Kluyveromyces lactis: one gene and its partners. The protein of the gene in region 5 binds, or shares a complex with, the protein of the main gene of each other region. Links are inferred from orthologs where the notes say so. Each region holds a gene or a part of one and is shown on either strand. Other genes may lie near its edges. The genes, in order: CFT1, FIP1, SSU72, PFS2, PTI1, SWD2 and YTH1.

Evidence for each region.
Region 1: PTI1 (region 5) and CFT1 share a complex: the UniProt entries of both Saccharomyces cerevisiae proteins name them as parts of the cleavage and polyadenylation factor (CPF) complex. The link is inferred for Kluyveromyces lactis from reciprocal best matches to the Saccharomyces cerevisiae genes PTI1 and CFT1.
Region 2: PTI1 (region 5) and FIP1 share a complex: the UniProt entries of both Saccharomyces cerevisiae proteins name them as parts of the cleavage and polyadenylation factor (CPF) complex. The link is inferred for Kluyveromyces lactis from reciprocal best matches to the Saccharomyces cerevisiae genes PTI1 and FIP1.
Region 3: PTI1 (region 5) and SSU72 share a complex: the UniProt entries of both Saccharomyces cerevisiae proteins name them as parts of the APT complex. The link is inferred for Kluyveromyces lactis from reciprocal best matches to the Saccharomyces cerevisiae genes PTI1 and SSU72.
Region 4: PTI1 (region 5) and PFS2 share a complex: the UniProt entries of both Saccharomyces cerevisiae proteins name them as parts of the cleavage and polyadenylation factor (CPF) complex. The link is inferred for Kluyveromyces lactis from reciprocal best matches to the Saccharomyces cerevisiae genes PTI1 and PFS2.
Region 6: PTI1 (region 5) and SWD2 share a complex: the UniProt entries of both Saccharomyces cerevisiae proteins name them as parts of the APT complex. The link is inferred for Kluyveromyces lactis from reciprocal best matches to the Saccharomyces cerevisiae genes PTI1 and SWD2.
Region 7: PTI1 (region 5) and YTH1 share a complex: the UniProt entries of both Saccharomyces cerevisiae proteins name them as parts of the cleavage and polyadenylation factor (CPF) complex. The link is inferred for Kluyveromyces lactis from reciprocal best matches to the Saccharomyces cerevisiae genes PTI1 and YTH1.

Annotation. Positions count from the first base shown.
Region 1 is NC_006039.1:880,506-884,681, forward strand, and holds the start of CFT1 (cleavage/polyadenylation factor CFT1), read right to left. Parts: upstream 2,801-4,176; coding exon 1-2,800. Other genes in the region: PRO1 (glutamate 5-kinase), read left to right, coding at 3,139-4,176. UniProt on the Saccharomyces cerevisiae protein: RNA-binding component of the cleavage and polyadenylation factor (CPF) complex, which plays a key role in polyadenylation-dependent pre-mRNA 3'-end formation and cooperates with cleavage factors including the CFIA complex and NAB4/CFIB.
Region 2 is NC_006041.1:534,517-537,142, reverse strand, and holds FIP1 (cleavage polyadenylation factor subunit FIP1), read right to left. Parts: upstream 1,389-2,626; coding exon 501-1,388; downstream 1-500. Other genes in the region: BUD4 (Bud4p), read left to right, coding at 1-287; transcription factor IME1, read right to left, coding at 2,286-2,626. UniProt on the Saccharomyces cerevisiae protein: Polymerase-regulating component of the cleavage and polyadenylation factor (CPF) complex, which plays a key role in polyadenylation-dependent pre-mRNA 3'-end formation and cooperates with cleavage factors including the CFIA complex and NAB4/CFIB.
Region 3 is NC_006040.1:1,644,774-1,647,245, reverse strand, and holds SSU72 (RNA polymerase II subunit A C-terminal domain phosphatase), read left to right. Parts: upstream 1-1,348; coding exon 1,349-1,972; downstream 1,973-2,472. Other genes in the region: cysteine protease ATG4, read left to right, coding at 1-916; GUD1 (guanine deaminase), read right to left, coding at 2,053-2,472. UniProt on the Saccharomyces cerevisiae protein: Component of the cleavage and polyadenylation factor (CPF) complex, which plays a key role in polyadenylation-dependent pre-mRNA 3'-end formation and cooperates with cleavage factors including the CFIA complex and NAB4/CFIB.
Region 4 is NC_006041.1:644,318-647,624, reverse strand, and holds PFS2 (cleavage polyadenylation factor subunit PFS2), read right to left. Parts: upstream 1,860-3,307; coding exon 501-1,859; downstream 1-500. Other genes in the region: PFK27 (6-phosphofructo-2-kinase), read left to right, coding at 1-108; BSC6 (Bsc6p), read right to left, coding at 2,256-3,307. UniProt on the Saccharomyces cerevisiae protein: Integral and essential component of the cleavage and polyadenylation factor (CPF) complex, which plays a key role in polyadenylation-dependent pre-mRNA 3'-end formation and cooperates with cleavage factors including the CFIA complex and NAB4/CFIB.
Region 5 is NC_006042.1:1,903,985-1,907,221, forward strand, and holds PTI1 (cleavage polyadenylation factor subunit PTI1), read left to right. Parts: upstream 1-1,492; coding exon 1,493-2,737; downstream 2,738-3,237. Other genes in the region: KLLA0_F20504g (sphinganine kinase LCB4), read right to left, coding at 1-445. UniProt on the Saccharomyces cerevisiae protein: Component of the cleavage and polyadenylation factor (CPF) complex, which plays a key role in polyadenylation-dependent pre-mRNA 3'-end formation and cooperates with cleavage factors including the CFIA complex and NAB4/CFIB.
Region 6 is NC_006041.1:1,607,009-1,609,851, forward strand, and holds SWD2 (WD-repeat containing protein SWD2), read left to right. Parts: upstream 1-1,362; coding exon 1,363-2,343; downstream 2,344-2,843. Other genes in the region: MND2 (Mnd2p), read right to left, coding at 1-402; MCO12 (Mco12p), read right to left, coding at 721-972, 1,089-1,094; ATP-dependent 5'-3' DNA helicase HCS1, read right to left, coding at 2,325-2,843. UniProt on the Saccharomyces cerevisiae protein: The COMPASS (Set1C) complex specifically mono-, di- and trimethylates histone H3 to form H3K4me1/2/3, which subsequently plays a role in telomere length maintenance and transcription elongation regulation. Involved in mediating RNA polymerase II termination.
Region 7 is NC_006042.1:760,494-763,097, reverse strand, and holds YTH1 (cleavage polyadenylation factor RNA-binding subunit YTH1), read right to left. Parts: upstream 1,134-2,604; coding exon 501-1,133; downstream 1-500. Other genes in the region: FUN14 (Fun14p), read right to left, coding at 1,350-1,856; protein phosphatase 2A regulatory subunit RTS1, read right to left, coding at 2,458-2,604. UniProt on the Saccharomyces cerevisiae protein: RNA-binding component of the cleavage and polyadenylation factor (CPF) complex, which plays a key role in polyadenylation-dependent pre-mRNA 3'-end formation and cooperates with cleavage factors including the CFIA complex and NAB4/CFIB.

The DNA of each region.
Region 1 (4,176 bases), on a different chromosome or scaffold from region 5:
TATACCCAGTACTATTTGGTTTGCTTGGATCGTAACCTACAAGGGGCTCACCATCTTCACTTAGAGCTTGATATTCGATGAATTTGGTATAGGAGATGATATACATTCCGGTCCGTTCATGGTACGCAATATTTCCTAAAGTTTCAAATTCCTCAACAACATCTTCAATAATGATTTTTCTAAGAATCTGAGTATTCCCATAATAACATTCAGGATCTAATTTCATTACTCTTGCATTTTTAATATTATCTACGCACATCACAGAGTTTTTACCCCACCTAGCCATTGTGACAATAGGTATATTAGTCATCCGGAATATCCGACATACCGAATTATCTTCTTTGATTATGATATATGGTACTTGACCAGTAATAAATACTACTGAATATCCATTGTAGTTAGGGAAGTAATGAGCAACCCTTTCTATTTTATTAACTCCTTGAGGGTATGCATTGTTAGGAGCACCGGTAATTAGAGGATGGGATTTACATTTTAAGAGTTTACCGCTGTGCTTTGTCGACTTCTTGTACTGATAGATCTCCCCACCAAACGTAAGAATAGTTAGAAATTCTTCTTTCTTATGATGGCCCAATCTGTTTAACATGATTTGCTTTATTGATGGGTCCGGGTTCATTTCTTCAGGAATCTGATACGTACTTATAAAAAGCATGTCTTCTAGCTGATCGACACCATTTAACTGAAATATCCTGTCATTGTGCTTTTCGGTAAAGAAAATAACCTGATTGTCGCCCGTTACAAATGTGAAGAGAAGCTGTTCTTGTGAAGAGTTTTCCAATCCATGTAGGAATTTGTTGCAAATGTTACTCTTGAAAATGGAACCAGATGTGATGATAATTTCATTGAGAGCCTCTGGAAGCTTAAATTTGATGAATTTTTTTTTATTTTTAGAGTCTAGTTGATAAATTTTGATGTTACCTCTAGCATCCGTGAATAGAATATATGGATCAATAATACACGCATGAACAATTTCGATATCAATAGTTAATCTTGCTAACCTCTTAAAGTCAACATCAAATAGATATAATCCTCCTGAAGTTACCTGTAAAATACGTTTATCGTCGTCCATAGTTTCCATGCCGATGGTTCTGCTGTCTTTTCTAAAATCTTGCGCCCTAAAAGGTTCAAAATTTCTATCAATCTGATATACATCACTTTTCTCTTTATCAGCGTCTGTAGTCACAAGATACTTGTCTTTTCCCTTTATTTTCAAATTCCAGATACGGGTCGCACTTGTGAATTTTAAGGCTTGTTCTATGTGGGGCTGGACAGTGGAATGCAATGCAGTGAGGTGAGATCCCCTCCCAACTCCAGATGTAGCTACAATTGAGAATTCATCTTTGTTAGGATTGGGAAGTCTCTGAATAGTTGGTTCAACAGATGCGACCTTACCAATAGTAAGAGATGTTAGAGGACCGATATTGAAAATGGAGTCCAACAATGATATATCGAAAGGCTCTTGTGTTTCGACGATTCTGGTGTGAGTATTATTTTGAGACTCTCCATAAAGTGCACTGTATTCATCGTCATCGTCATCAACAGTTTCAACAAGTTGTCGTTTTGCTGCAAATGCCACTTTCAAGTTTTTAAGTTGCAGAAACATTGCATCACCTGAGAGAAAACCTATAAGAACTCTGCCAGTTTCTAAGTTGAGATCACCACATACCGACAACGGCAATCTTGAATTTTTGAAGATCTCGTTAACAATCGGTACTTGTACACAGTCAAATTTGGTAAGTAGATTACCCTCTGATTCTGTAATAATGTTGTACATCCTGCAGTTTTCATCTATCAAAATAAGCAAATCATGTCTTTTCAAAGCTTTATAGAAATATATTGAACTCTTTGATAGAAAGATATTCATGTCAGAATTATCAGTTATCCTTGTATTGATTGAAGACGTTGCAAATGTGTTCAATCGTATGCACGATTGTAGTGCACCAGATGCACTGATATATAATAATTCATTGACACCAATCAACACATATCCCCTCTTCAGTGGAACCAAGGTGTGCAGGTCGTTCGGAAGATCTGCAAGCTCAGCAATCACGGTGGTTTTTTCATCTTCGACATCTAAACTCAAAACCATGTACCTCATAGTATTTCCAAGTACTTTTTCATTTCCACACCACGCAAGTACCGGTTGATATAATATTCCCACAGTTGGCTTGCTGAAATTATTTAACCATTTTATATCATAGACATGCTTGAGACTCTTGTGAAGGCTAGAAATTGGCATTATTATACTATCGGATGTGATTCCTTGGTTCCTTTTTAAGCGTTTAGCCATTGGCTCTTTTATTCCGTTCTCATCCTCATCAATTTCCATATCTTCTGTGTTCAGTTTCAATGGCAATATAGCTAAAACATCTTCATTAAAAACCAGAAGACATCTAAACAATGGATCCACTGCCATAATGGACTCCGTCTTCAAAGAAGAAGTGCTTAAATTGACAAATTTGTCGTGATAATAATGCAGACTTAGTGTTTCAAGACTCTCTGCCACTGGGTCAAACCTTACCAACGATACTTTGGATTTCGACGAAAGTATTGCAAGCATCTTAAGAGGCGATCCAATTTGGGGCAGTAATTGCATATCTATGATTTTACCTGCTAGTTTCCATTCATATGCAAGTACAAGCTTTTGTGCTCGCGAGACCCTGAATACAGAGAGAACATTGGTTCTTGCAACAACGTATTCTTCCCTTTCCGCTGACGTAAAATTCCCATGTAAGCATTTATTAACCACAGTGGGTTGCAATATCTCGTCAAAAACGTTCATTTATTATCTATCCCCGATATTTAAACGTTTCAGATTCAGGTGTGACTGAAGAGTGCTAGTATGCCCACCTACGCTCGTCTGTTTCCAGTGTTCTTAGTAATGATAGTTACCTATATTTTGAAGAACCGGTGAATATTTAAAAATTCACAGAAACTGAAAGTAAATGTTTCGATGACATCTGCAGACCATTTGAAAAGATGAATAACTGCATCTGCAAAACAGATATAAACATAGTGTACTGTCTGTGAGCAGCAGCTATTAGTCAATCTGGCCTGAAATTTCTGTAACCAAAGGTTTCTACGGACCGCGAGAAGAAGAACGTTTTCCAACAAGTTCAGATGGTAAAGCAGTTCGTCATAGTCATAAAATTGGGATCTTCATCACTAGTTGATGAAGAGACCAAAGAACCAAAACTTTCTATCATGTCATTGATTGTGGAGACTGTGGTAAAGTTACGCAGAAGAGGACACAAAGTTATCATTGTATCTAGTGGAGGTATCGCCGTCGGATTGAAAACGATGAATATGAAGGGAAGGCCAAAGAAACTATCCAAGGTGCAAGCAATCGCAGCTGTGGGCCAAGGCAGATTAATTGGGAGGTGGGATTCCTTGTTCTCTGAATTTGATCAGAGAATTGCTCAAATCCTAATTACTCGAAATGACATTGTTGATTGGACTCAGTATAAGAATGCACAGAATACTATTAGTGAATTACTTTCCATGGGAGTAGTGCCAATCGTTAATGAGAATGACACTTTATCTGTGAGCGAAATCAAATTTGGTGATAATGATACATTATCAGCTATCACAGCAGCGTTGACTGGTGCTGATTATCTATTTTTATTGACAGATGTTGACTGTTTATACACTGATAATCCAAGAGCAAATCCCGATGCAAAACCTATCTTGGTTGTTCCAGATATATCACAAGGATTGCCAGGTGTGAACACAGACGGTGGATCTGGATCAGATGTTGGAACTGGTGGTATGAAGACTAAGCTTATTGCGGCAGAATTAGCAACCAATGCTGGTGTCCATACCATCATTATGAAGAGCGACACTCCAGAAAACATTTCCAAAATTGTTCTCTACATGCAGGAAAGGGACGATGGCGTGAATGAACTTACACAAGATTTGGCTGACCTACAACTCACTGAGATGCAAAGTTTAGTTAATAATCATGTTCCTCTTCATACTAGGTTTATTGCCAATAGTAATCATCATCACTTGAAGAACAGACAATTCTGGATGCTTCATGGACTCGTCAGTCAAGGCGCTGTAATTATAGACATTGGTGCATACGAAGCGTTAACGAGGAAAAACAAAGCTGGTTTGTTACCTGCAGGCGTTATTGAAGTCCAAGGGAGCTTCCATGAA
Region 2 (2,626 bases), on a different chromosome or scaffold from region 5:
CCAGAAAACCACAAACTTTGTTGAATCTTCTAAACGTAGTAGATATATACTCTGATGGTAAAACGGCAACTGGAAAACAAATGAGAAACTTTACTGATATGGTACTTTTCAGCGATTGCTTCAAACTCCTTTTTGCAAATGATGAAGTTATAAATTTTAACGCTGATTCTAATCTTTTAAAACAACAATGGGTTGAAATTTTGACCAGCGTTGTTGAACTGAATAAATTCCATCAACCATGGATCAAAAGAGTTTTTGAAAACGAACAATACAACATTACTTTTTAAACTGTTATAGTATTCAGATATATAGTTTGTCTTTGCCATTTTTTTTGAAGTATAGTATATTAATGTCATTTCTCTAATTATAACAAATGTCAACATGAGGTCTTTAAAACTAAGCTGTGTTACAATTCCATCAAGGAATCGAAAATACATGTACATGTCCGCTATATATCATTAATGTTGCTTGCAATCAATACGAGCCTCAAGCACTAAATTTCATTTCTTGTCGTTGAGATTATTATTGTTGTTGTTGTTAATGTTGTTCATGTTGTTCATGTTGTTCATGTTGTTCATGTTGTTCATGCTTGATACATTTTGATTTTGCATGTTATTCATCATACCCGGAAATGGAAATCCTGGGAAACCACCAAACATGGGGGGAAGTCCCATAGGCGGAGGAGGAGGTTGGATTGTATTCTGTACAGGTTGTCCTGAACCTGGATCATTTAACTTTCCTTGCTGCTGTAAAGCTAGGAGGTTCATCAAAATCTTTTGTGGGTTGTATTCTTTCGTCAAATGTTCTTGTCTATGTAAATATTCCATCCAAGTCTGTTCATTAAATCCATAATTGAAATAATCTGAAATATTCGCTCCTGGTTGTCTCCAGGGCTTCTCCTTTAGAATTTCTGGATCGATCTGTACTATAGGTTTCCCATCGAATTGTGCATCCGGGTTCAAATCAATAGTTTGTTGTTGCTGCTGCTGCTGTTCAGGTGGTATTGAACCCTCCTGTACAGGAACCACGTCCGATATACCAGCCACTGCTGCAATAGCATGATCCGCTGTACCAAGAGGCGTTGTGTCTGTTATAGCAGATATCTGGGACTTACCAGAATCTATCTTAGAGGTATCGTTACCAGTTCCGATGATAATCTCAACATCTGAATCTGAGTCACTGCTGTCATCCTCATCTGATGAACTATCCTGATTGGAGGCCTCACTCTCTACCTCATTCGTATTACCTTCCGGTACATCATGAGCTAGTATCTTGGGTGTTTCTTCGACCTTTTGTCTTTTCAATGCAGGACCCTCTTGCTTTGCGACTACGTTAGAATCCTCCTCATCGCTGTATAGAAACTTATCGTCTTCATCCTCACTGCTCATAACGATTCGTTTCTATATGTCGTTCGTGGACTGGTAGAAGATTTATCAATAAATGCTTGGAAAGTTTGGAAGGCTGCGCAACCCAAAAGGTATCTTAACAGGAAGATAGTTCTTCTTCTCATATAGAAATCAACTAATAGTTAACTCTCAATGCTAAGATTTACCAAAATGATGCTGTTAAATCGACGCATATCCGGGTAAATTATTGTCGTATTCAATGACAAACATTTCTAATGAATATCTGTCACCGGACAGCGGACAGCGACTCAGCTTGTTTGGACGGAATGTATAATATGGGTTAAATGTGTAGCTAATGAGAATACATGATTTACAGAAGAATTAGATGTGCATGTTGCGGACAGTATCGATTTCCGATGTTAACGAACTTGAAAGAATATGCGATGGTAAGAATTAAAGATATGGAAAAGTAACAAGGGAAACCAAAGAAAAAAGTGCATCTTATTGACGAAGCATAATACTTTGTCCTGTTTTTTCAGAGTAAAAGTGTGAATTAATTAAAAAAATTGACAGAAAACAACAGAGGAAACAAACATTACAGGCGAGTGAGTGTCTTTAATGTGTTGAAAAGAGTCAGACATTGTTGAGAATGAATGTTCAAAAAAGTCGATTGTAAACTGCAATTGAGAAGTGAATGTTCTTTTTTGAAGTGTTTATGGGACCTGTAAGGTTGACTAAACATGGTCACCTTGTGTCCGCACCCACAGAAACAAAGTAAAAAAAAAAATGGAAGGTAATTTGAAATGAAGTAGAGAATTAGAAAGGAATGAATGTAAGAAATATGATGAAGAAGGAAAAAAATATGCAGGTGTATCATACAGGCAGTCTATAGCAAAGGGGGAAAAATAATATCTGGATAAAAGGATGAGGATTGTTCCATCAAAAATACGTCTTGGAGAACTTGTAATCAATTTCTTGGAATCTAATCTTATCGAAATAATCCAAATCGTTAGAATCAGCCAAGAAATACCCAAAATAAGGTAGTAACTTGTTAGTTAGCGTGTAAACAAACTGATCCTTTTCCGAAACGACCGAATCTTTCTTTGAAGATGAAGAGGAGAACATGATGGGTGCCACCAATGCACGTTGCTGTTTTTTCTTCACTGGAGCCATGCACTGCAAGTCATTGTCCAAATCTTGCTCGTCTTCTTCCAGTAACACGTTGATACTTCTTGTAGAAGAGAAAACAGAACTGTGTCTTGTGTCAGCCAGTGAAGGTG
Region 3 (2,472 bases), on a different chromosome or scaffold from region 5:
AAATGCTTCAAGAATAGATGATAATGAGTTAAATCTGATCCGTTGGTTTCAAGACGATGTCAAATATCCTTTGTCGTTACACAACTTTGTCAAAGCAGAAGAGAAAATATCTGGAATGAAACCTGGGCAGTGGTTTGGGCCAAGCGCAACAGCCAGAAGCATAAAAACATTGATTGAAGGGTTTCCCCTTTGTGGAATTAAGAATTGTATAATTTCAACTCAGTCGGCAGATATATACGAAGATGAGGTCACAAGAATTTTTCATAAGGATAGGGATGCTAATTTACTTCTGCTGTTTGCTGTCAGGTTGGGTGTTGACAAAATCAACAGCTTATACTGGAAAGACATATTCAAGATTCTCTCATCACCATATTCTGTCGGGATCGCAGGCGGTAAACCCTCGTCATCATTATACTTTTTTGGATATCAAAATGAAAATCTTTTCTACCTTGATCCACACAACACTCAGCAATCTTCTTTAATGATGGATGATCTTGAATTTTACCGAAGTTGTCACGGACACAAATTCAACAAATTGCATATATCAGAAACAGATCCGTCAATGTTACTCGGTATGTTAATTTCAGGTAAGAATGAATGGGATCAGTTTCATACTTATTTCAGAGATAGTCAAATTATTCAATTTTTGACAACCAGGCCAGAAAATGATTTATATCAAAGTGCCAATATGTCTGTCGGTTCTGATTCTATTCACTCATTGGAGTCAGACATACAGGACACTGGAGAATACGTTGATGTTGGAACATTAGTTTCTGGCAAACAAATGTCCTCCCCGCAACCAAAAGATGAAGAATTTGAAGATGTTAAATGCAAAAGCCAGCGAATAATCGTCTGCGAAGATCCAGCTGATCCTGAAGTTGAACAAGTTCTTGTCGAGGATTCATCCTCCTGCTGACTGCTGTATCTTCCTCATTCTTTGTTTAAGATATTATATTAAATATTAGTATCATTATATAATATGGATCCTTCGGCTGTCAAGCACCTAATTCAGCCACAAATAAGGACAGGCTTTGGTAATCGGGTGTAACGGAAGTGACCTTGAACTTATACTAATTACCAATCTATAATTCTATTAAGATTATTACAAGCGTCGCATTTCCGGGTAATATTATTATCTAGCTGCACATTGATAAAATTGACTTTGTTAAGAGCTTCAATGAAAGTTACAAGATATTCATAATTGGTAACCGAAATGGTAGACAGCCCATACTTGCATTTCATATTCAATTATTATAACTCTCATTTTCATACAGTGTTGTCTGCTTAGTGCTACCAGAATAGATAATTTGACTAAAAGTTATTACGAATCTAAGAGGAACTATTAGGCATGAGCGAATCAATGAGAAATAGCGGGCTTAAGTTCTGTACTGTGTGTGCATCTAACAACAACAGGTCCATGGAGTCCCATAGGGTATTGGAAGAGGCAGGGTATGATGTTTCTAGTTACGGTACTGGAAGTGCAGTTAGACTTCCAGGTCTCTCGATAGATAAACCAAATGTGTATTCATTTGGTACGCCTTATGATGATATATATAATGACTTGATTTCTCAAAGTGAAGATAGATACAAGCAAAATGGTGTATTAGAAATGTTAGATCGTAACAGGAAGTTAAAAAAAGCTCCTGAGAAATGGCACGATGGGAGAAAGGTTTTTGATTTCGTTTTTACCTGTGAAGAAAGGTGTTTCGACTCTGTGTGCGAGGACCTGATGAATAGAGGTGGTCAGCTTAATCTAATTGCACATATTATCAATATCGATATCAAAGATGATAATGAAAACGCTAAAATTGGTGGGCGAGCAATATTAAGATTGGCAGATATGCTAAGAGATAAAGTTTTTGAATGTGAGAAAAACGGAACTCAATTTGAGGATTTTATAATGGATGTCTTCACTGAATGGCAAGAGAAATATCCAAAACTACCACTAACTTATTCTGCTGCATATTATTAGTTCTATTTCATCTTGAGTTATATATCATGCTATTCTTGTTTTGCATACTTATTTCGATGGAATTGTAAGCTAACGATTAGTTAAAGATTTTGATGGCACAATTTTCCACGGACCCAAACACTTTTAACATTCCTATCATCACCATTAAATAACCATTTTGCCACAATATTCTCCAGTTTGATTCTATCCTTCCCGTTCGGTTGAATTTTGTCGTTGGTAACTTTTTGCCATGGAAAAATGGATACGTTGCTTCCTTTGGTGGATAAATCTATCAATTGTGCGTCAAACTCTTTCCCTACGTCGAAACTACCAATTTTATCAGACAGATTTAAAACTTTAGCACCACCCATGGTAGCTAGATACAATACTTCGGCGACAGATAGTTTGCATTCCTCTTTTCTTTCAGGATCTTCTACTGACATTGCTCGATGTCTGGAAACTAGTAAAGCTTGCCTAGCATTTTCCAAAATACTGACTGTAAAACCACCGGAAACATCAGA
Region 4 (3,307 bases), on a different chromosome or scaffold from region 5:
CCATCCTCTTCCCGTGATAGATCTGATGCCATAGATGAAAATGTCCGAAAATCCAATATAATGACGTTGCACGAAAGTATCAATGATACTTATCTACAAACGTTGTAATCTCTTATACCATATGATTTGGCTATATTTATTAGAGTTTGAATGCCAGTGCTCCTTGCCAATTGATACACCAATTATAAAAAAAATATTAATGACGAAATGATATCTTATAAATTTAATGACCTTTTGACCGCCAGTTGATTAAGCGACTGGAATTGTAACGACCTCCTAACACTTTTTTGTTTTTATTTCTCGGTTCTTTTTAACACTTTTATATATTCAACAACTACTGATTCTTTTTTTACCTATTTAGTATAGTATTTTACTCGTTAACCTCTATTTTAGTTTATTCAATCGATACAGTCTACTTATTAATGATGAAGAAAAGGTAGATTTACATTTAATCTGCTTAAATAATATTGATGCTATAATTTCCATGACTTTCAATTGTCTTAAAAACTTAGGCCTGGTAATCCTGATCCCAAACCTGGTAAAGTACTGACAGATGGTCGCTCAGGTTCAACTGATCTGGAACCGTCGCCATTTTCATTATTATTGGAGTCTTCACTTGGTGGCAAAGCAACACCGTGTTCTGTTTTGTTTCTGACAGCATTAATGTTATTATTGATACCGAAGTACCAAGCATTAACTTTTTCATTGTTATATGTTGGATCATCAAAGGCGTTTGGATCGACTGCTCTCGATCTCGTCCAGAATCGAATAGTCCTATCTTTCGAGGCGCTAGCCATGATGTGACCAATTGGACTATATGCTAATGATGTAACACATTTTTCATGTGCATATGGAATGTTGTGTGTAGGTTTGTTTGGCTGATTTTCCTGGGATAGATCGAAATGTTTTATAGATCCATCATAGCATCCAACGGTAAACACTGTTTCATCGATTGGATGCCACTGTAATGTCATGTAGTCGACATCATCACGAACACTGAAAAGCTCTTTAGCCTGTTGTCGTATATCATATACCTTGCATGTTTTATCCTTCGAAATTACAGATAGTAAGTTTCCCTGTTTGGGTTGGAATTTCGTCGAGATGATAGTATGTTTAAAACCAAGCATGGTGGATACGCAGCTACCACTACGCGGATCCCAGAATTTGATAAGATTGTCTTTGGATCCTGATACGATTAAACCCATCTTCGGATGCCAGTCGCATGATTTGACGTCCCAATGATGGCCTGATAGCACCCTTTCTTGTTGTCCGTTGCTAAAGTTCCATATTTTCAACACATTATCATCAGAACAACTGACAAACTTCTGGTCGGTCGGACTAAACGATATTTCCCTTACACATTCCATATGTGCTTGGTCCATGACTTTAACCATATTAAAGTTTGGTTGCCAGATCTTAAGCTCCCCATCAGCGCTACCACTAACCATCCAATCCCCTGTATGTGAGTATGTCATCACGGTTACTGCACTATCATGAGCCTGCATAATACTTTCGAAATTGAAACTGGATCCACTCCATAATGAAAACTCTCCATTGTATGTAGCTACCACTAACCTTCTTCCTTCTGGCGTCCACGTAAGAGCCGGAATAACGTGCTTTACCTTATTTGATGAAAGATGCGTAAATTTGGTTGCTGTATTGATGGCATGCCCATGAAAACCATAGGCATCTGGCGGTAGTATATGAGCATTATATGAGGTTTCTGCCTCTATATATGACGAATTCTCCTGGCCATGCTTCTTCAAGAAATATAGTCTATCATAAGATGCAGAAATGTCAATTGTTCGTCTTTGCGATGTATACTTTTTAGTTGTGGTGCCCTCGGTATTAGGATCCATGCTATGTCTTTTTCAAGCTGAGACCAGGCTGTGTTGAAATTTCTGAGAACAGTATGAATAGTAGTTCACCTAAGTTTCGTAATGTGAAACGTTGGCCGTGTCTTTTGATACATGTTTTATGCATTTCCTACCTCTCAATATCATTAAATGCAAGTAATATTCTGATTTCGGTAGTTTTTGATGCCAGCTCGATGTTGAAGTTGCTTCAAGTAAAGAAAAAAAAATAGATCACGTGCAGCAGACCTTAAGCATAAGAATGAAGCTGATTCAATTACTTCTGTAGTATGGATTTAAAATACATATGTCCGTTAAGAAGTAGGAGCGATTCCCCTATTATATATAAGTAAATAATTTCCATGCGCGGCACGATATTCATATCTGTTGAGCTTGAGTAATTTATAAGTACTCTCTATGTCCTTTGATAATTTTCGGGTAGAGCATCCAAACTATGTTGAATGCCAAAGAACCAAGGAAGCATAGAAATGGATAGTATTGGAACCCAAAAATCTTGTTTGCAAACCCAAAAGAGTATGTTATTAATGCACCACCACACCCTCCGAAAGCGATTGCTGTACCAATACCACTAACTTGTTGATGTTTCGGTAGGATTTGGATTGCAACAACACTTGCGTTAGGGAACAAGGGACCTATGAAGATACCAGCGCCAAAGATCATCAACGATAAAACAAAGAAATAGAATGTCGATGTGGAATTGATTAGATTGATGATAACGAATAGGAAAAAAAACAATGAACAAGTCAAACCGTACCAAACGCTTGACCTGTATTCATTTTTGAACCTTTTTGTAACAAAACCAAGACCTAATCTACCGATAGTGATCCCAGACCAGAATGACGCAGTAACAAATGACATAAGGAACTTCTCACCTTTCTTATAATTCAACAAATATGTGAATAGCCATGTCCCAACACCAATTTCTGTACCTAAGTACAAGAATAAGAAAAATGCATACAAGAAAATCATCGGAGGATACTTCGATAACTGGTACCATTTTATCTCTTCCTCATTTTCAATACCACCTGATTCATCGGGGACTCCTACACAGATGTATCTGTATTTGGTAGCAGTTTCGTATTTAAAGGCCCCCATGCAGAGTGCCAACCCCACAAGAGCAAACACCAAAGGGACCCAAAAGATATAAGACCAATCCAAATAATGATCGAAGGTTGTAACTAATGGTGGGGTTACACCAGCGGCCAACCCGTATATTCCATGAAGCAAACCCATCCATTCATTCTTTCTAGTCTCTAAATTACCAAAGTAGAAATTACCTGTAGAGTCAACAAACCCAACACACATACCTAGCGGAAAGAAGCATATCGCATAAAGATAGAGCGAATATGGTTTTAGGGCAAGAACCAAGTAGGTAAATGCAGCAAGTATACATGATGCTGTCATTACGCCTCGAGACCCCCATTTTTTATGCA
Region 5 (3,237 bases):
CGCTCAATTTTATTGTTTTTGGGACTAAATGGTTCCTCCTTGGCTTTGCAAAAGTGACTTCAATCAATGCAGTATGATCCGGCCATGGGGAACCATCATCTTCTGCTTCCATATTCGTGACATCAAGAATCTTTGCGTAAGGAATAACCGTATTTGAAGGTAGCAGCAGAGCTTCATTCTCATCTTTAGATTCCGTGTCGCTGAGACAAGTAACACAACTGATTAACGAAGCTGTTTCAAAAACACTAGATTGGAAGCTCCCAGAAGCATCGCCGTCTTCGTCATCCTCGTCATCGCCGAAATCACCTCCATTACTTCTGCGTGCCAAAAGCGTCGATGAGCTTGTTGAAGGACCGGACGTAAATTGATCTTTAATCAATAAACCATTTTCGCCAATGATGGCTCTTGTATAGGGCAAATGATACTTCCTGCTCAGCTTACTCATTATTCTTGCAGCCCTCTGTTTCCTTTTTCTCAGATGAAGGGAAATATCTGAATCAGACTCTGATCTCTGTTTGGACCACAACAGTTTTGGCAACTCAACAAGAATAATTAACTACCTCTTTTCCACCTTTACGTGAAAATAACGCAAAACAAAATCAAAAAAAAAGAGACTGATTCAAAATTGAGATACAGTCAAACAAGATCAATGACTATGTCTTCTGTTATTCTCTGATGAATCCTCTTATCAATACCTAGCTAATAAATCACAGGGGGTATGTTTTCGGGATGACGGATATATTACTGTTCCTTTCAGTTCAGTTCGATTTAATTTGATATATCTAACTTGAAAACGGAGAACACCAAATCGTTGTCATAAATATGATAAATGGAAACGTTTCTTGGAAATGATAATAAAGTATAGTACTATCCACCAGTTAAACTAGAATTCTCACAGACAAATTCTCTAAACAAATTTCCTAGGTTCACGATGCTTATATAAGAACCGATGCGCAATGCTTTTTTTATCAGACTGTCTTCTTGTCTAGATAACAAACCACGAGAGTAGATCCTTAGAACAATTTTCTTAAATAGTAGAGGCTTGATTAACAATACTCTGGCTGATATTGGATGTGGACAGAACAGTTTCTTATTCATCAATCATATCTTTACGTTTTAACTTCGAAGGCTTCCTGATTTTCGATTTCATGTAAATCTAAGAAATACAAAACAAAAGAAACATCAGTTGGCACGTGATATATAATCAATTATTACCCGGATATTGTTCTTATATGAATGTTAACTTAAAAAGATTCTAAGCATCGTTAAAGACTAACGGCCATACTAATGAATTAAGAAATCTGCTGTCGACTAGAAAGAATGAATATGTAATTATGTATGTTCGTAACGATTCATTGTGAGGCAAAATAATACTAGTTACTAGACACCAGTCAGATATTTGCGATAACAAGTTTGCAATTTAGAGAATACATATATATATCGAAACGGTGAAATACTCTTAAGTTGGTTTCTAACTAAACACAGTCAAAGTATGCATGACCCACAGAAGGATCCTCGTACTAGGAAAAGCAGGCATGAACTGACCCCGCACAATCTTTCATCTACCATACGTTTTACTGACATACCTGCTCAGTGGAACAAGGATAACTTCACATCTGTGATAACTGGTTCTGGATATATAGTTGACGTTAGAGAGAAATACGTGGATGAGGTCGAAGAAGCAGGAGAACGAGAAGGGGGAAAAGGAACTGGAGCTGGAGCTGGAGCTGGAAGTGAAAGAGGATGTCTTGAATGGGTAGATGTAGATTTCAGGGACTCTTCCTCCGCCAATAGGGCCCAAAATTCAATAAATAAGATAAACCATTTCCCATGTAGGATGTCCATGGTGATTCCCAAAGATTGGAAAGAAAAGTTAGAGAAAATAGACCAACTGAAACCGTTAGAGTTCACAAGAGACAATTTTCCCTGGGATTACAAATTAGAACTACCGTTTGAAATGGTAAGTGAGGTACCTTTACCAAGAAAGCCGTTGCCGGTGGTGCAACCAATAACAAGTGACGCAGGAAGCACACTATCCTCGGAGAATAACACTGCATCTACGAATGCTGCCTCGGATAACCTTGCCTCGAAGGCGAACGAGGCACCGGCACAGCAGATAGAGATCCCAGAGATCTTAGCACGGGCATCAAAGCATCTACCAGCATACCAACCGGGCTCGATGACTGCACCGGATGTGGTATCTCAAAATCTATCGAAGATTCCTACGTTACAAATGATCGAGATTCTATCAAACTTGAAGATCTTAGCCAACCAGCATAACAAGAAGCCACAACTGGAACAATTCTTGAAGACTAACATTGACTTAACGGTAGCTGTCACTCAGGCAATGCTAGAAATGGGGTTGATAAACTATCACGTGATATCAAATGTTCTAGGCCAAATGCAGGGCCAACATTCTGTTGGACCCACGCCTGCCGCAGCCGCGCCTACAGTACCAACTCTGCCGCCAGTTCAACTACCTGAGCCGTCTGTACCCCAGACGGCTCAAGGCATTAACAGCGGTGGTAACGGTACTGGTGGTGATATTACCACCACCGCTACAACCAACGCTGCCAACACCCCACAGCAGTTCAACGAGGCAAAACTTTCGCTACTGCCGCAAGATCAACAGAACATGATCAGAACTGCGCTTTCGATGCCCATAACGAACATAATGGCTCTTCCACCAGGCCAGCAACAACTAATACAGCAACTCAAAAACGACTACCTTCTATAGATAATAATAATAGCAATAACAAGAAAAATACATAGCACAATTCCTATCTCTTAGTCATCCATAATGGCTCGAAGGCTTTCTTTCTATCTATAGTGTATACCACCGTGTTTCCCAACCTAAAAGTTCCGCGCGCAAGTTTTCCTCTTTAACGACTTGGCTCATACAGGAAACTGAAAATGGAAAAAGCTGAAATAACCGACATTTCAAAACAGGAAGATGTCAAATGCATGCGGCGAAATGAAGGGAAACGAACGTCGAGGGAAATGTCTAAGGAAAGCGCAAAGGGAAAGAAATGCCGAAACGATTGGGCTACTATTCGAATGTTTTGGCGGTAGCTGCCGCCCTCCACAGCAACACGGAGCACTTTGTGTCAGGATCCTTTGGAGAGATTAGATAGATATTTGTTTATGTGCGTGTGTAAAAAGAAAAACTTGTCAAGTCCTCTCTTGCAGTAATCCGTTTCTGTTTTCAGTATGTTATATCAGGTATCATCAGTGCCG
Region 6 (2,843 bases), on a different chromosome or scaffold from region 5:
CTTGTTCTGTTTACTTCCCTTCTCCTTTTCGATCTCTTTTAGGGTTTTATCAATGCCAATAGGTCGCAAACTTGAGTAGCCAAGAGATCTTATCAGCAATAGTGTCGATTTATCTAGAATGTTAATGGTATTGGAATCAGACACATCTCCGTCATTATTGGCAATTAAAGGTTTCTCACTATGGCAAGTATACGCCGCAAGAGGAATCAATCTCTTCCCAGGCTTGATCCGTCTCTTGGTATCTTTATCAATGTTCCAACTCACCGGTTTCCCTTTTCTGCTTGTCTTGCTTTGCAGAAGCTCTTTTCGTAGATTGTTTATCAAAGGAATGTTATTGAAATCGGATGGTGCAGAAGGTTGTCTGAAGGCATCAAGGCCATACATAAACTCTCCAAGCCCCATATCTTACTTGTAAAGCCTACTGTCTCCAAAAATATTTTGTGAACAGCCTCTTAATGTCTGTTATTGCCATTGACACAGTGGTGTTTAACAGGACACAAGTAAATCATGATTTAAAGGTTTTATTTTAAAAGAAATAGAAAAAGCATCAACAAAAATAAGGAGAGCTGTACTACTCACCAATTACCAGTAGTTAAACGCCGGCGTCTTGATGGCATTCACTCCAGTTATCTTATATTTGATATGAATTGATAGAAGACACTAAAAAGAACTGAATATTATATATTAGTATGTATGTTTGAATAAACGTTATTGGTGTAACTACAGGTTACGCTTTCTTTCCATATGATCCAAGAACTTGTCAAAAGGAGTCTGTTTCCTAAAATAAGCACTTCTTTCAGCCATGTTAGCCAACTTATCGAATAAGTATTCTCCCCAGTCAAGATACCGTTTAATATAATTCTTCAAGTCAGACATTTCATAAGCGACAACATAATTGTTACTTCTACGCAATCCAGCCAATACCATAGACAACAACGCTAAGTCAATACTGTAATGAACTATATCTTTAACCTGATTGGAATTTGATAAATGCAGTTAAGATTACCTTTTAGTTAGTAAATCAAAGTCCGTTGATGAAAACGGTGGTGTATCTAACCACCTTCTTCAAAAAAATGAACGGTACGTACACCCATGATTCTTATTACAAATCTCAAATATGTCAGTTCTTTATAAAGCCAGAGTAAGACCAGAAAGGCTCTATTTCTCTACCTGCAAGTGACTAACACTATTGATTTCTTTGACAGATGTCATTACAATTTCGAGGAACATTTAAATTTAAATAAAACTGTTAACACCATCAAGAAATATTACCAATTTGGAGACAAAAAGAGAAGCTCAACGGGACACCAGCGGTTTAGCAACAGTTCTGTGATTATCTAAAAGTTAGCTGAGAAAGGAAATATGACTGTTAGCATTTCCAAGAGCAATCTTCTACGATTTGAGCCTGTGAAGTCCTTCAGAGTTTCTGATAAAGAATTGGGACCTATAACTTCAGTGACATTTGATGACCATGGCCAGTACTTGTTGACTGCAACTGCTAGTGATAATATGCATCTATATGATGCAGTAAGTTGCAGGTTTTTGAATACCATCGCTTCTAAAAAATACGGATGTCATTCCGCAAAGTTTACACATGCGCAATCAGAATGTATCTATTCATCCACTATGAAATCGTTTGACATAAGGCATTTGAATCTTGAAACAAACACATACCTTAGATATTTCCAGGGCCATGGTGCTCTAGTGAGCGATATACAAATGTCCCCGTTGGATGATACTTTTTTGTCTGCATCGTATGACGAATCGGTAAGACTTTGGGATTTGAGAAGCTCCAAGGCACAGGCCCTTATACCAAGTTTAGTCCCCACATGCATTGCTTACGATCCAAGCGGGCTTGTGTTCGCCATTGGTAACCCTGAGAACCATGAAGTCGGTTTATATAACGTAAAACATTTGAAGGCGGGCCCATTTTTAGTTATAAATGTGGATCCAAGCTTTGATCAGTGGAATAAATTGGAGTTTTCAAACGATGGTAAATATTTGTTGCTTGCGTCGTCCGCTGGAAAACATTTGATCATGGATTCCTTCGATGGTACACAGTTATTTGAATTATCAGGAACTAAACCTTTCCCATTGAGAGAGTTCATGGATTCTGGATCCGCAACGTTCACTCCAGATGGACGCATTACATTGGGAACTGATTACACTGGGAAGATCGCGATATGGAACCACGCAGACTTCATCAGTGGTAGGACGCTCAAACCTCAAGGATTTATTAACGCCGCACCAAATACATGTCCCAGAACTATTGCATTCAATCCTAAATATAGCATGTTTGTCACTGCAGATGAAACTGTAGATTTCTACGTATATAACGAATGAATTATACTGGGATCTGGATATATGACTTCGAAGCCAGACTCTACCCAGAGCACCCATCTATTTAGGAATGGCACTCGACATCTCGATAACATTTCCATGTTACCGATGACACAAAGCTGCCTTTTAGGTCTGGTCATCGCGACATTTAATCTTCTTTCATCTTTCAAGAACCCAACCTCGAAATTCTCGTTACTTCTTACTAAAGATAGGATGATGCACTCCTTTTCTCTACCTTGAAATCCGTCTACGGTAGATATCTCAATTGCTTGATGCTTTTCATGGATGAGTTTTTTCAACAGCGATACTTGTGAATTATACGGGGAGATCACACCAATACTTTCTTCCGTAACACCAGCCTTTATCAACTGCTCAACGTGGTATAATGCCAAATATGCTTCATTTTCGTTGTATTTTGAAGAGACTAGGTGGAACTTATCGTCTGCATCGTTGTCATTTTCATCAGACCTTTCTGGAAAGTCGTCTCCCTCAGTATCTAACCA
Region 7 (2,604 bases), about 1.1 Mb from region 5:
AGGTACCGGTCGACAGCCTTGCTGTGATGCGAGACTGCCATCCCAGTAGCTGGCTAGTGCCAGTTATAGGTGTATTAGAAAACTGACTTCAAGAACTCACGCTGTTGCCTGGTGTACATTCATGCGTCCGCTCTCAGGGTTAATGCTTATCAGTATTGCAAGAAAAAAAAGAAACCGAAAGAAACTGTGGAATGGAGTGTTCTATACTGGGGAATATGTCGACCGCGTGTCCATAAATGAAACTCAGCGAATGATTTTGGCTGAGAGGTCTGATACCTATTGGATAAGCAATTTAAGGTATGTGAGCCTTGGTTCCCTTAATTTTTCAGGTGTGTTGCTTTTGCTGTCGGTTGATAGAATTATCCGGCTGTAACATTGTGTAGTATTATGTTACTTAGTATCTGTATCTGTATCGAATTACGTATGGTGAGCTGAATAGTGAATAGTGACAGCAGCAGTGGCTGAGAACGAACGCACTGATGAAAACTGAAAAAATTCAGTCACGTGACTAGGATGTCACCGTTGATAATGGCATTCAAGCGTCTTTCCCTTTCCTCATCCATCTTTCTTGTATTAATATGCTCGTCTTTCTTGATGCGCAGTTTGCTGTGTTCTGAAGGTACTTTGAATTTGGGATGCGACCAGTCGCAATCTTTACCCAGTGGACAAAACCCTACCAAGTATCTGGGGCAAAGTACCTTTTTGACATGTTTCTTCGTGCATGCAGGTCCCGATGGACAGAACCCCATATTATAATCCTCACATTCTTCTAACTGACTCTTGTGATCTACGTGCAAGTATTGACACTCCGGTGATTGTGTACAGTACCCGTTCTTGGTGAAGAATACACACTCGGGCATCTTTCTTAGGTTATACTCGTGTAAATATTCACATTGATCGTTCTTCTTGCAGAGACCTCGGAGCCAGTGCTTACAAACAATCTTGTTCTGAAATATCGGTAGCACATGCTTGTTTGGACAGCGTGCTCCGTTGGGACAGGATTTTATCCCCTCTCTTGAATTATAGTATTGGCATACCGGTCTATCTGGATCTAACGAGAACGAATATTCTTTCCGTAGAAATGGCTCGAAATTAAACTCGTACTTCGAGGTATCTGGATGAACTATACTCATTAGTTTAAACTCCCTTATCTCCTTGACAACCCAGTCTAATGTAGCCTACCAGTCGTTTATGAAAATGTCTTTGATGATTGGTAATTAATCATGTTACAAGCGAGTTACACACAATAATTATTTTACTAATTCTTAAATATAACGTTATAGGATATTCTGGGTTTTCACATGAGAAAAAGTCACGTGAACTGAATAAGGTAGCGTTCTCGGAACCAATCAGACGTTAAGTGCAGCTAGCACAAATGTCAAGATGAATGAGACTTTGAAGCTGGGTTTGTCCCAGATCAATGTGTTCAAATCAATCCTCTCACGGCCGATGGTCACAACGTATTTGGAAAGAGAACGAGTGCTGTCACTGCTGATAACTCCCCTGTTCTGCAAGAATTGTAACCCAACGAATCCAACCCCGGTGATGAACACGAGAAGACTTGATATCTTACCAAAGATAACACCGAACACTAGACCTAAAATTGACCCGTAGCACATTTGTCTGTAGTTGACTCTTCTTTGCTTCGAACTTATATCAACACGGCTTGGCAATCCAAGCTCTTGTGGTAGATTCGTTCTTTGCTTAACATCAACAATTGAATCGTTCATGATATATGAGCTTGGTTGCATCGAGTGCAACAACGATCCACCACCGACTAATAAACTACCGCTGAATCCAACATAAACACTTCTTCTTAATGGCACGCCAAGGTTTCTTGCTGCTGTTCTGAACATCTTTCCTAATTCTTTACCTATTATGTCGATTGGTCTGTCTTCACTCGAGGATATAAAACACAATTCTGAGTTGAACTAAATGAGACTGATTTCTAACCGAATTTCTTCGTTATCGAAAGATTAAATTATAAACAGTGATTTTGTCTACGAATTGTCGTTTTCTTAACTCAATAGCAATTTGCACGTACTTCTCAATATTTCTTTATATAGCCATACTGACGATGGAGCCTGCGACCCTTTTTTTTCAACCGATGTTGAAATTTAAGAATCATACAAAACCCAACATGCTGAAAAGAATAGGATTTGGGTGACAGTCATTATAAAAAAGAATATATAGAATTGTCAGTTAGAAAGTGATAAGCGGCAAGTTATCAGTCAAGTAGTACCTTTATTACTATTTTATATGTAAATTAAGGCCTCCTATTTGGGTTGGAAATCATTTGTCGTTTACTGATATATACGGAAACAATTCTATGTTCGGTGAAAAAGACGCGTAGATATAAGTATATACATAACTTTTACCGTGATGATGATGATAATGAAGACGATAATAATGATTTGGTGATGGTGAGTCCGTAAGGATGATAGTGGTCACTTTTTTTCAACTTTCTGCGATCTTCAACTTCGAAACGTAATCCTCTAATTGTTTCCAGTTCATTTCCCTCTCTTTTTGACGTCTGTTGTTTTCTTTCAAACTAGATATGTAAAGTGCGTTGCAATTTTCGTATAAGACATTGTTCGTTTCAAG